2 linked regions of the Coturnix japonica genome follow. The protein of the gene in region 2 purifies or fractionates together with the protein of the main gene of each other region. This does not show direct contact. Links are inferred from orthologs where the notes say so. Each region holds a gene or a part of one and is shown on either strand. Other genes may lie near its edges.

Region 1 (4,344 bases), about 51 Mb from region 2:
TTTACAGTCATTGTATATTAAGGCTAATTCAGAAGGAATGAGGTAGGACAGATGAGGTCCCAGCCTACAGTAAGCAGAATTCCCATTCTGATTCCTCTCTGCTCCCAGCAGCTCTAAATATCAGTGAGATGATCATAGCAAAGCCATTACACAAAGCAGAAAGACAGCCATGGGGAAAGCTCCGCTGTGCAACTACGTGGAACGCAGCATTCACCACAAGCTGCTCTAATTGGAAATAGGCAGGAGAAACTTAACGTATCTGGAAATATTTTAGGTTGAAGAACTAGAAAAATGCAGAAATGTTTCCAGTTTTAAGTGACAGAGCACTACGACCCACAAAACACAGCTGAAACAAATGAAAGGTAGATCATGGTTCTCATTTAAGCCTACTGCAAACCTACTTGTTTTGCTGCCTCCCCCCTAACACCAGGCTCAGACTGCAATTCAACTTGCTCTCACCAACTCTTGCATTTGCTGCCACCTCCAGCAGCTCCAACAAGCCCTACAGAAGCATCAAGACCAGCTCACGTGGGTACAGCTACAGGTTTCCTTGGCGCTGTGATAAGCTGAGCCGCTTTCTGTCCCAGGAGCTGCAGAGAAACCCGTGTGCCTTCACATCACCAATCGTCACCTCAAAGCCAACAGCTGACGCTCCAACACCTGCCCTACAAATTAATTCACCTTTCACAATTAAAAACTGCACTAGCAAAGATGAAGCGACGCCCTGTGAAGGGATGAGAGGCTGTCAGGGATCGGCTCAGCCAGGATTCACTACAAGAGTAAGAAAGGAGCATTTCACTTCATTTTCTCGGCTGTGCAGAAGGTTGAGGGAAGACGGGGAAAAGCAGCAAACTCTCAGTTCCTGTTTATCCCAACAAAACTGAGACCCGCCTAAACCTGACGTGGGTTTGATCGTGTGTTGGGGTTTTGTTTTTAATACCAAAAAACCTGATACGTTTTCACTATGCAGAGGACACTGTTTGCTTTTTCTTTCTTTTTTTATTCTTTCTTTGCCCTAAACATGAAAGCAGAATTGCATTTCACAAATCTCAGTCAGCATAAGGCACTGCCAATGGGCAACAACCTGCAATCAACAGCAATGGGAGCACACTGAGCATCACAGCTGGGGAACAAAAGCCCTTATCCAGTCACAATTATCTTATTGGTTTAGTGTGTCATTACAAACAAAGCCAAATCACTGTATGACCTTCTCTTTCACGAGGCAACAGTCGTAGTTCATTGTCTTTAGAAAACTCCCTAATTAATAAGACATACGGCTTAGAAAATACTCCCAGGTGCTCTAAACCCCCTGGTAGCATTGTTCCGGAAACACACTGTGCACGTGTATCTTTCTGTCCATTTAAAATGCTAATGATTTAAAGGCCAACTGCAGGGATGCCACTACAGCAACAAAACAGCTTCAGATCAGTGAGAGCCATCTCACAACAGCAAGGCCTTTGACTCTATTTGCACTTAGCATTCACTTATTCTTTCCTATGAGCTGAAGAGGAATGCTGACAGATCTCACAGGCCTGTTTCCAGCTATTACAAGCTATACAGCCACGTCTTGTCACAGCACACATAGGCCTTTCCAGAGCCCCTCAGCAGTGGACTAAAGCAATAACAAGCAGACACATTGTCTGAGCTTGTCCAAGCTTTAAAGCCACGCTCTCCTAAAGAAACCCCCTTTTTGCCCCTATAGCTCTGAGCGGGACGTGGAGCTTTTCTCCTGCAGTCCTGAATTCAGTCGGTTTGGTCTTATCTGCTTTAATATCTAGACAACAGGGAGGAAAATTGAATGAAAACTCATTTTCATTGCATGTCAATTTCAATAAATTTATATATATATGAGCGTGTGTATATGTGCGTGAGGAAGACATGAGGCTATTGATTATTCCTCTTTCCTTCTCACTGAGTGTCTCAGAACAGCTTCAGGGCAAACCCACAAACCCAGCACAGGTCAGGTTGGCGAAATGCAAGCAGCACCTCCTCAGAACTCTACTTAAGTATAATACATAGAACCGGCCACACATACACTTCTAAATATACAGCCATTTTATAGTGCTAACTGCTGCAAGTAAGTAAACCTGGTGCCTTGTGAAGGCCTCGCACCTCAATCAGGCTGACGCCCCAGGAGCAGCTGTGTGGGGCAGGCCGGCCCCGGGCACGTTGGCACAGCCCTGGAGGCCACAGAAGGCCCGGTCCCCGCACACGCCGCCCAGCTCAGGCCGGGCAGCCCCGGGCCGGGCACGGCCTGTGACAGCCAAAACTTGTGTGCGAACTTGGCTCGGTTTGGGGTGAGTGACATCTGCCACCAAACACCGGGAACGGGCCTGAGAACATCTGACCCCCAAAGCGGAGCCGATTAAAGGCCTCGAGGAGTTTTTCCTTCGCAGCAAAGCGCAGTTAGCAGAAAGGAAAAGGCCAGAACGCGCCGGCAACCCGACCGGCGACACCTGCTCGCGGCGAAGGCATTGCCCAACTCTTTGTTCAACTCTAAACTCCTTTTCTGCACCGCGGGGTTCCCCGCAATAAACAAAGGGCCGACCCCGTCCTGCAGCCCGGGCGGACAGAGCCGGGAGCGGGAGGCCACGGCCCGGCCGGGCCCCGAGCCGAGCCCCGAGCCGAGCCCCGAGCCGCACAGCCGAGGCCGGGCCCGGGCCGCCCCCTCCGCCCGGGGCGCAGCGCCGCGGCCTGCCCGTGCCGCCGCCCGCAGGCCCAGCCGGTGCGGGGCAGCCCCAGAGCCCGGCCCCGGCCGCCTCTCCCCGCGCGCAGGGCCGGGCCGGGCCCCGCTCTCACCTTTAAGAGATTAGACGTCGCCATGATCTCCCCCCCGCCGACGGCGGCTCCTCTCCCCGTGCTCGGCTCTGCCCCGGCCGCCGCCGCTTTACATGGCCGCGGGCCGCCCGCCCGCCCGGCCCGACCCGCGGCGGCGGCAGCAGGAGCAGCGGCCGCAGCTCCGGGTTCCCCTGCCCGGGGGCGAGGCCGGCACCGTGCTCGGGGCGCTCCGCAGCTCTACCGGGTGGCTCCTCCGCACGCAGCCGCCCCTCAGAGCCTCATGGCGGCGTCCGCCCAGGAGGCGCTCGGCAGCAGCCCCGGCTCCATGGAAGGGGCCGGCCCACATGATGCGGCGCCGCCGAGCCGGCCCCGCCGCCAAGCGCGGAGGGAGGCCCGGGCGGGAGCTCCGCCTGCAGCGACCCCTGGCCGCCGCCGACCCCCGAGAGCGCTCCCCCAGCTGAGGGCGCCCGGGGGGGTGGGCGCTTTTCCTCATGGACCCTTCAGGCTTCCCAGCTTTTCTGTTCGGTGATTCTTCAGCGTGTGGCCATAGGAGCCATAATTTTACTTTCCTGTTTAAAAAGGCATCCTTCATCCAAAACGTATCTTAAAGAAAACAATTCAACTTTCCTCTGACCTCTCAGGACAGAGCCCTACACCTCCCTCTGCTTACACAGAATCACAGAATGACCCGGGTTGAAGGGACCTCAAGGATCATGTAGTTCCAACCCCCCTGCCTGGCAGGGCCACCAAACATAACCTTTAACTAGATCAGGTTGCCCAGGGCCCGTCCAACCTGTGTCTGTAAACACCCACAAGGACGGGGCATCCACAACTCCCTGGGCAGCCTGTTCCAGGGCCTAACCACATCTCTCTAGTAAAGAACCTCCCCTAACATCCAACCTAAATCTTCCCTCTTAACTTGGATCCATTTTCCGTGTCCTGCTATTGTCAGCCCTTTCGAAGAGTTTACTCCCTCCTGGGAAGTGTCCCTTCAGGTACTGAAAGGCTGCAATGAGGTCACCCCGCACACTGTAAGGCATAGAGCCCCTAAGGTGTTAGCTACATAGAAAAGCTACATTCAACATTCAACAAATCTCTGCTCTCTGAAAATTTAAGTAGTGTTGACTAACTAAGGCCTGCAGCCTTATTATATTAATAAATAGCCTAATCAAGGCCTTCTCCTAACTGAGAAGTAACACAGAGGTACTGGAAAGTTTCTTATTTGACAAAGTTTCCAGTCTCAGAATACTTCAATAAGTCTGTTATATGGAATAAATATAACTTTCATTTAAGTATATATGCAATATTCATTGTATACATAAAGCATGCAACTATACAATGGTATGTATTGTATATAACTAGATAATACAGATGGAAGTGTATCACATACTGTCCATTGTGTACATATTCCACAGCAGTGCTGATATTATGAGGTCTCTGGCAAGGTCAGTAGAATGTGTGCATTGTGTATGTGTGCATTAAGCACAGTGTGAGTACTGCATTACAGGTACCTTTGTCTGTGAACCAGAGAAGCTGAGATACAGGCAGGTATTCTATAGGCTGTGG
Region 2 (4,254 bases):
ATTTAACAGGACATACCTTTCCTCAATTTGCAGCTTAATATAAAGGTCTGAGGAAATACTTTACACATGCAGCCCTTATCCATCCAACTCAGTGTTTTCTTCAGGAAAAAACAAGTTTCCATTAAGACTCCAAACCAGATCATAGAGATCTGTGGAATGACCACTAACTTCTAATTTCATAAATTCTTAACAGTGAATTAGAAGAGTGATCAGTGTCAGTGGAAAATAAAAGGGGTATATGCAAGGATGTCCTAACCTGGTTGGGCATCCTGTACTAGGCAGGACTGGGTCCTTTATCTTAAATAGAAGTGGAGGCCTAAGACAGATTTAAGATCATCTTAGGTAAATTGTGAATAAAGGGTGAAAGGTCCTGTTGACTGCATGGCACAGTAGATACAGTATCAGTAATATAAATTATCCCTATTATTACCATATACAGGCACCTGATTAAAGCCTAAATAACTGCCATTGCTAACTAGCCCTAGACTTCTTAAATTCTCTAACAGTGACATTTGAGAAAGCTCTTCAAATACTTTGCTGTCAGAGCAGTCCATGGAGAAGAAAGGCCAGTGTACACAGTTGGCACAGTTGCATTCACTGCACATATGGCCACAGCAGAGCAGATTTCTGTCTCCCAGAATATGTACAATTGCTCTCTCATGGAAAAATGAGACTGTTAATCCATATTTGAAATTTGCCTGCACCTTGATCCACAATTATGCTCTGTCAGGCCTCATGGCTTTCAGCATCCAAAACCCACTGACTTTTTGTGGCTTGGGGCCATCCAGCTCCCCTTTCACTGCTGAAAACTGCAGCCAGCCCAGAGGTTACATGAAACCTCTGGTCCTACTTGACACTGCATCCACCTGGCAGGGCAGGTATAGAGGGAGCCTTATACCAGTAACTGCATGAACAACCAAGCTTTGACTGCTGCCTGTGGATATCCTTACAGCACATTTCTAGAGGAGCATTCATTCTGTGGTAGAGGCTGAAAACATTTTTCCAGTCTCTGATCATGGAGAGGGTGCCACACGCTCAGTGACTCCCTAGGCTGCTTTCCTTTCATGGTAGCCTTACACAGTGTAGCTCACAAGGGGCTCTGAAATCCTTTCAGCTGAAGCATGCTCTTGCATACACATTTACATTTACATAAGCCTATGGCATTATGTATAACAATACTATGAGTGGTATTTTTCATATTTAAAGGATTTCACCTAACACCCGTGATATATGTAGCCAAATACATTCCCACTGCAAGCCACCAGCAGAGCTTATTGGCTCTGCTAAGAGCCAGGCAGGAGCAAGAGGAACATACTGAGCTCCAGCGCCCAACAGACCAAGCCACCCATGTTGCCTGTAGGCTTTCTCCCTCCCAGGCTCCATTTTGGCAGAGCTCATGGCCCATGTGAATTGGGTTTGGTTCACACTGTTGTAATGACGTCGCTTTCCCTTCACTCCCACCCTAGCCTCAGTGCATGCATACACATGCACACACACGAGGAGCAGCAGGCAACACAGCCAACACACTGCTCATATTTAAACTGTAGTTTGCCTCTGTTTAGTTTTCAGTGTCTCTTTGTTCTATGTGTTAAGGATAGAAGTGTTCTCAATAGCCCTGGAAAGAAGGACACTATGAAGTCATATTATCTTAATTTCCCTCCATAATCCCACTTCACTGACCATGAACTGAAGGAATGGTGTCTCAGAAAATGGGGGTGCAGGGAACATCATTAGCTAAGCTGCTGTGTAGAGATAAATTCTTTCTCCTTGGTTGGTCACTGTGTTGTATTTTCAATGGCTCTGGGCCAGCCAACAGAGCAACAGTCAGAGTGAGGGCATTTATTTGAATAACTTCACCACTGACTACAACAGTGTTGGTCACAGCTGATCACCAGGTCATAGATATTGTGGAAGAACCTGTATGGGCAAGTGGCTGTGTCTGGGCAAGGGCAGTTGGTCCTGCTGACCAGAAAGAATAAGAAAGTTAAAAAGAAAAAAAGAAGAAAAAAAAACAACAAAGTAGAAGCGGGTACAAGGAATAAAAAAGAGAAAGAAATAAAAAGCAGATAAAAATACAGAGGAAGTAAAGAAAAAGAAAAGAGGAACTGAGCCAGCGCTGAGCTGGCACCAATTGAAGTTCAACACACTGTCACACTGCAATCTCTTTTCCAGTTTGCTGTAGTTCAGTTACTGCATTTGTTTCTGCTTGCATGAACTGCACTACAGAATGTGACAGCTTTTCTGTGATGCACCAGGAAAAAAATAAAAGATAAAGAAGAAAGAAAGAAAAAAAAAACACCACAAGAGAAATCAGTATCGAGCTTAATACATCCCTCTGGGAGTGCAAGAGCAAGGGGATGTGGCTGCGGATCTGCACTGAAGTGTAACTTCGATAGAAGCTCGCCTTTGCAGCCTGACTCTGCCCGCTCCTGTTGCCAGCAGACGTGAGGACAGAGGCAGGAGCCTTACTCACCCCTCATCAGCACCTCTGATGGAGTCGTTGCAGGCACCTGGCCTCCTGCTCCTTGCGACTTGCTGCCGTTTTGATTCATTCCCTCCTCATCCATCTCAGCCCCGTCTGTCCAGTGTCTGTTTTCTCACTTCACGGTAACTCTAAGGAGTTTATATTCCATCGTTCACGGCGAGCCCCCTCGTGCAGGAGCGATCTGCCCAGCAGATGAGCGCAAAGGAGCCGGCCGCAGGCTGAGACTCGGTACTACACCGCTTTGTGCAGAAACTTAAGTACCTGGGCTGGGAGTTAGGGAAACACCTCCCTGGCCGTGCTGGTAAGCAGCCAGCGATCAGGCAGACCACACCGCACGAAGAGAGAGATGTGCCTGATGTCATATCCTCCCCAACCCCTCACCCAATCGGGGAGCCGGCCCCGGCTGTTTTTATCAGGAAGGAAATTCTTGGTTTGCCAAAAAAAGAAAAAGAAAAAGAAAAAGAAAAAGAAAAAGAAAAAGAAAAAGAAAAGAAAAACAAAAAACAAAAAACAAAAAACAACAAGGGAGAAAGAGCCAGTTCAACTAGTTGAGCAAACTCTGCCTGCGGGGGATTTGCAAAGAAAACCCAGAGAGACACCGGTGCGATTCTCACCATTCCGAGGTGAGCGGTTTGCAGGCTGCGCTTTCTCCTCCTAGCACTGCCCCGTGTGAGCCCACCGCCCCATCTCAGCAGCCGGGACCCCAGCAAGGATTGAGTGCCGAATTCCTGCCGCACGGCGGTGGTCACTGCGTGCCGTGCGGATATTGGAACCAAATGGTGCTCGCCGAGCCGTGCTCTCCACTGGAAGCTCCTTGTTGTCTCTGTGGCTGGGGAAGCGCAGCTCTTGAGCGGGCTGATTTCTTCCTCCTCACTTCAAACGGTTTCCCTGGAACAGTCACACGAAGCGTTTCATATCTGACCGCTGTCCTTTTATTTTAAATCAATTTCTTGGTCTAAAACAAGAACCACAAATTCATCAACAAATGGCAACTGATTTTCCAGAGGACCTGAGTATATGTTCATTTGTGCACAGGTGAAAGTAGGCAGAACTGCCACATGGAAATCTCACTCGTGTTGATAAAAATTGGTCTAGGAGAGCAGAAATTGCATGTGTGTATCTAAAGATCCAAATTACCAGGGGTAGGATAAAGGGGAATAGCTTTAAACTTTAAAGAGGGAGGTTTAGGTTTGATGTTAGGAGGAAATCCTTTACTCAGAAGTTGGTGAGGCGGTGGCACAGCTGCCCAGAGAAGCTGTGGTGCCCCATCCCTGGAGGGGCTCAAGGCGAGGCTGGATGGGGCCCTGGGCAGCCTGAGCTGGTGGGAGGCAGCCCTGCCTACAACAGGGGTTGGGGCTGGGTGGGCTTTGAGATCCCTTCCTTGCAATCCAAAAATTCTGTGATACTTCAATAAACCAAATTCTAACTTAAGTTAGAATTAACTAACTTAAGTTCCTGTGCTGAATTTCCCTGTCTTTGATCCAGACTGGAAATATCCTACATTACAAAGTACTTCTTGCTACAGAGTTGGATGTCCCCTGAGACCTGTCTGTCCCCTCCATAATCACTGTTCTGTGCAGCAGTCTTAGTGGGGTTAAGGCAGTGCAAGGAGAGTCCAGCAAAAGTCAAGTATTCTTTTTATTCATAAAAATGCAGATTCGTGACTCTTCCCTCCTTGTTCTGCGTGGTATCTCACCACAGGCTTTCTCCAGTGCATGCACATCCCAAATAATTTGTGGGCGGCCAGATCTCACCTGTGGAGATTTTCT

Evidence for each region.
Region 1: the proteins of ASB9 (region 2) and CUL5 purify together in Homo sapiens (affinity purification with mass spectrometry; 6 studies listed by BioGRID and IntAct, counting the BioPlex papers as one, with this or other methods). This does not show direct contact. The link is inferred for Coturnix japonica from reciprocal best matches to the Homo sapiens genes ASB9 and CUL5.

What each region holds. Positions count from the first base shown.
Region 1 is NC_029516.1:161,332,246-161,336,589, forward strand, and holds the start of CUL5 (cullin-5), read right to left. Parts: upstream 3,106-4,344; 5' UTR 2,824-3,105; coding exon 2,800-2,823; intron 1-2,799. UniProt on the Homo sapiens protein: Core component of multiple cullin-5-RING E3 ubiquitin-protein ligase complexes (ECS complexes, also named CRL5 complexes), which mediate the ubiquitination and subsequent proteasomal degradation of target proteins.
Region 2 is NC_029516.1:110,029,085-110,033,338, reverse strand, and holds the start of ASB9 (ankyrin repeat and SOCS box protein 9), read right to left. Parts: upstream 2,857-4,254; 5' UTR 2,568-2,856; coding exon 2,474-2,567; intron 1-2,473. UniProt on the Homo sapiens protein: Substrate-recognition component of a cullin-5-RING E3 ubiquitin-protein ligase complex (ECS complex, also named CRL5 complex), which mediates the ubiquitination and subsequent proteasomal degradation of target proteins.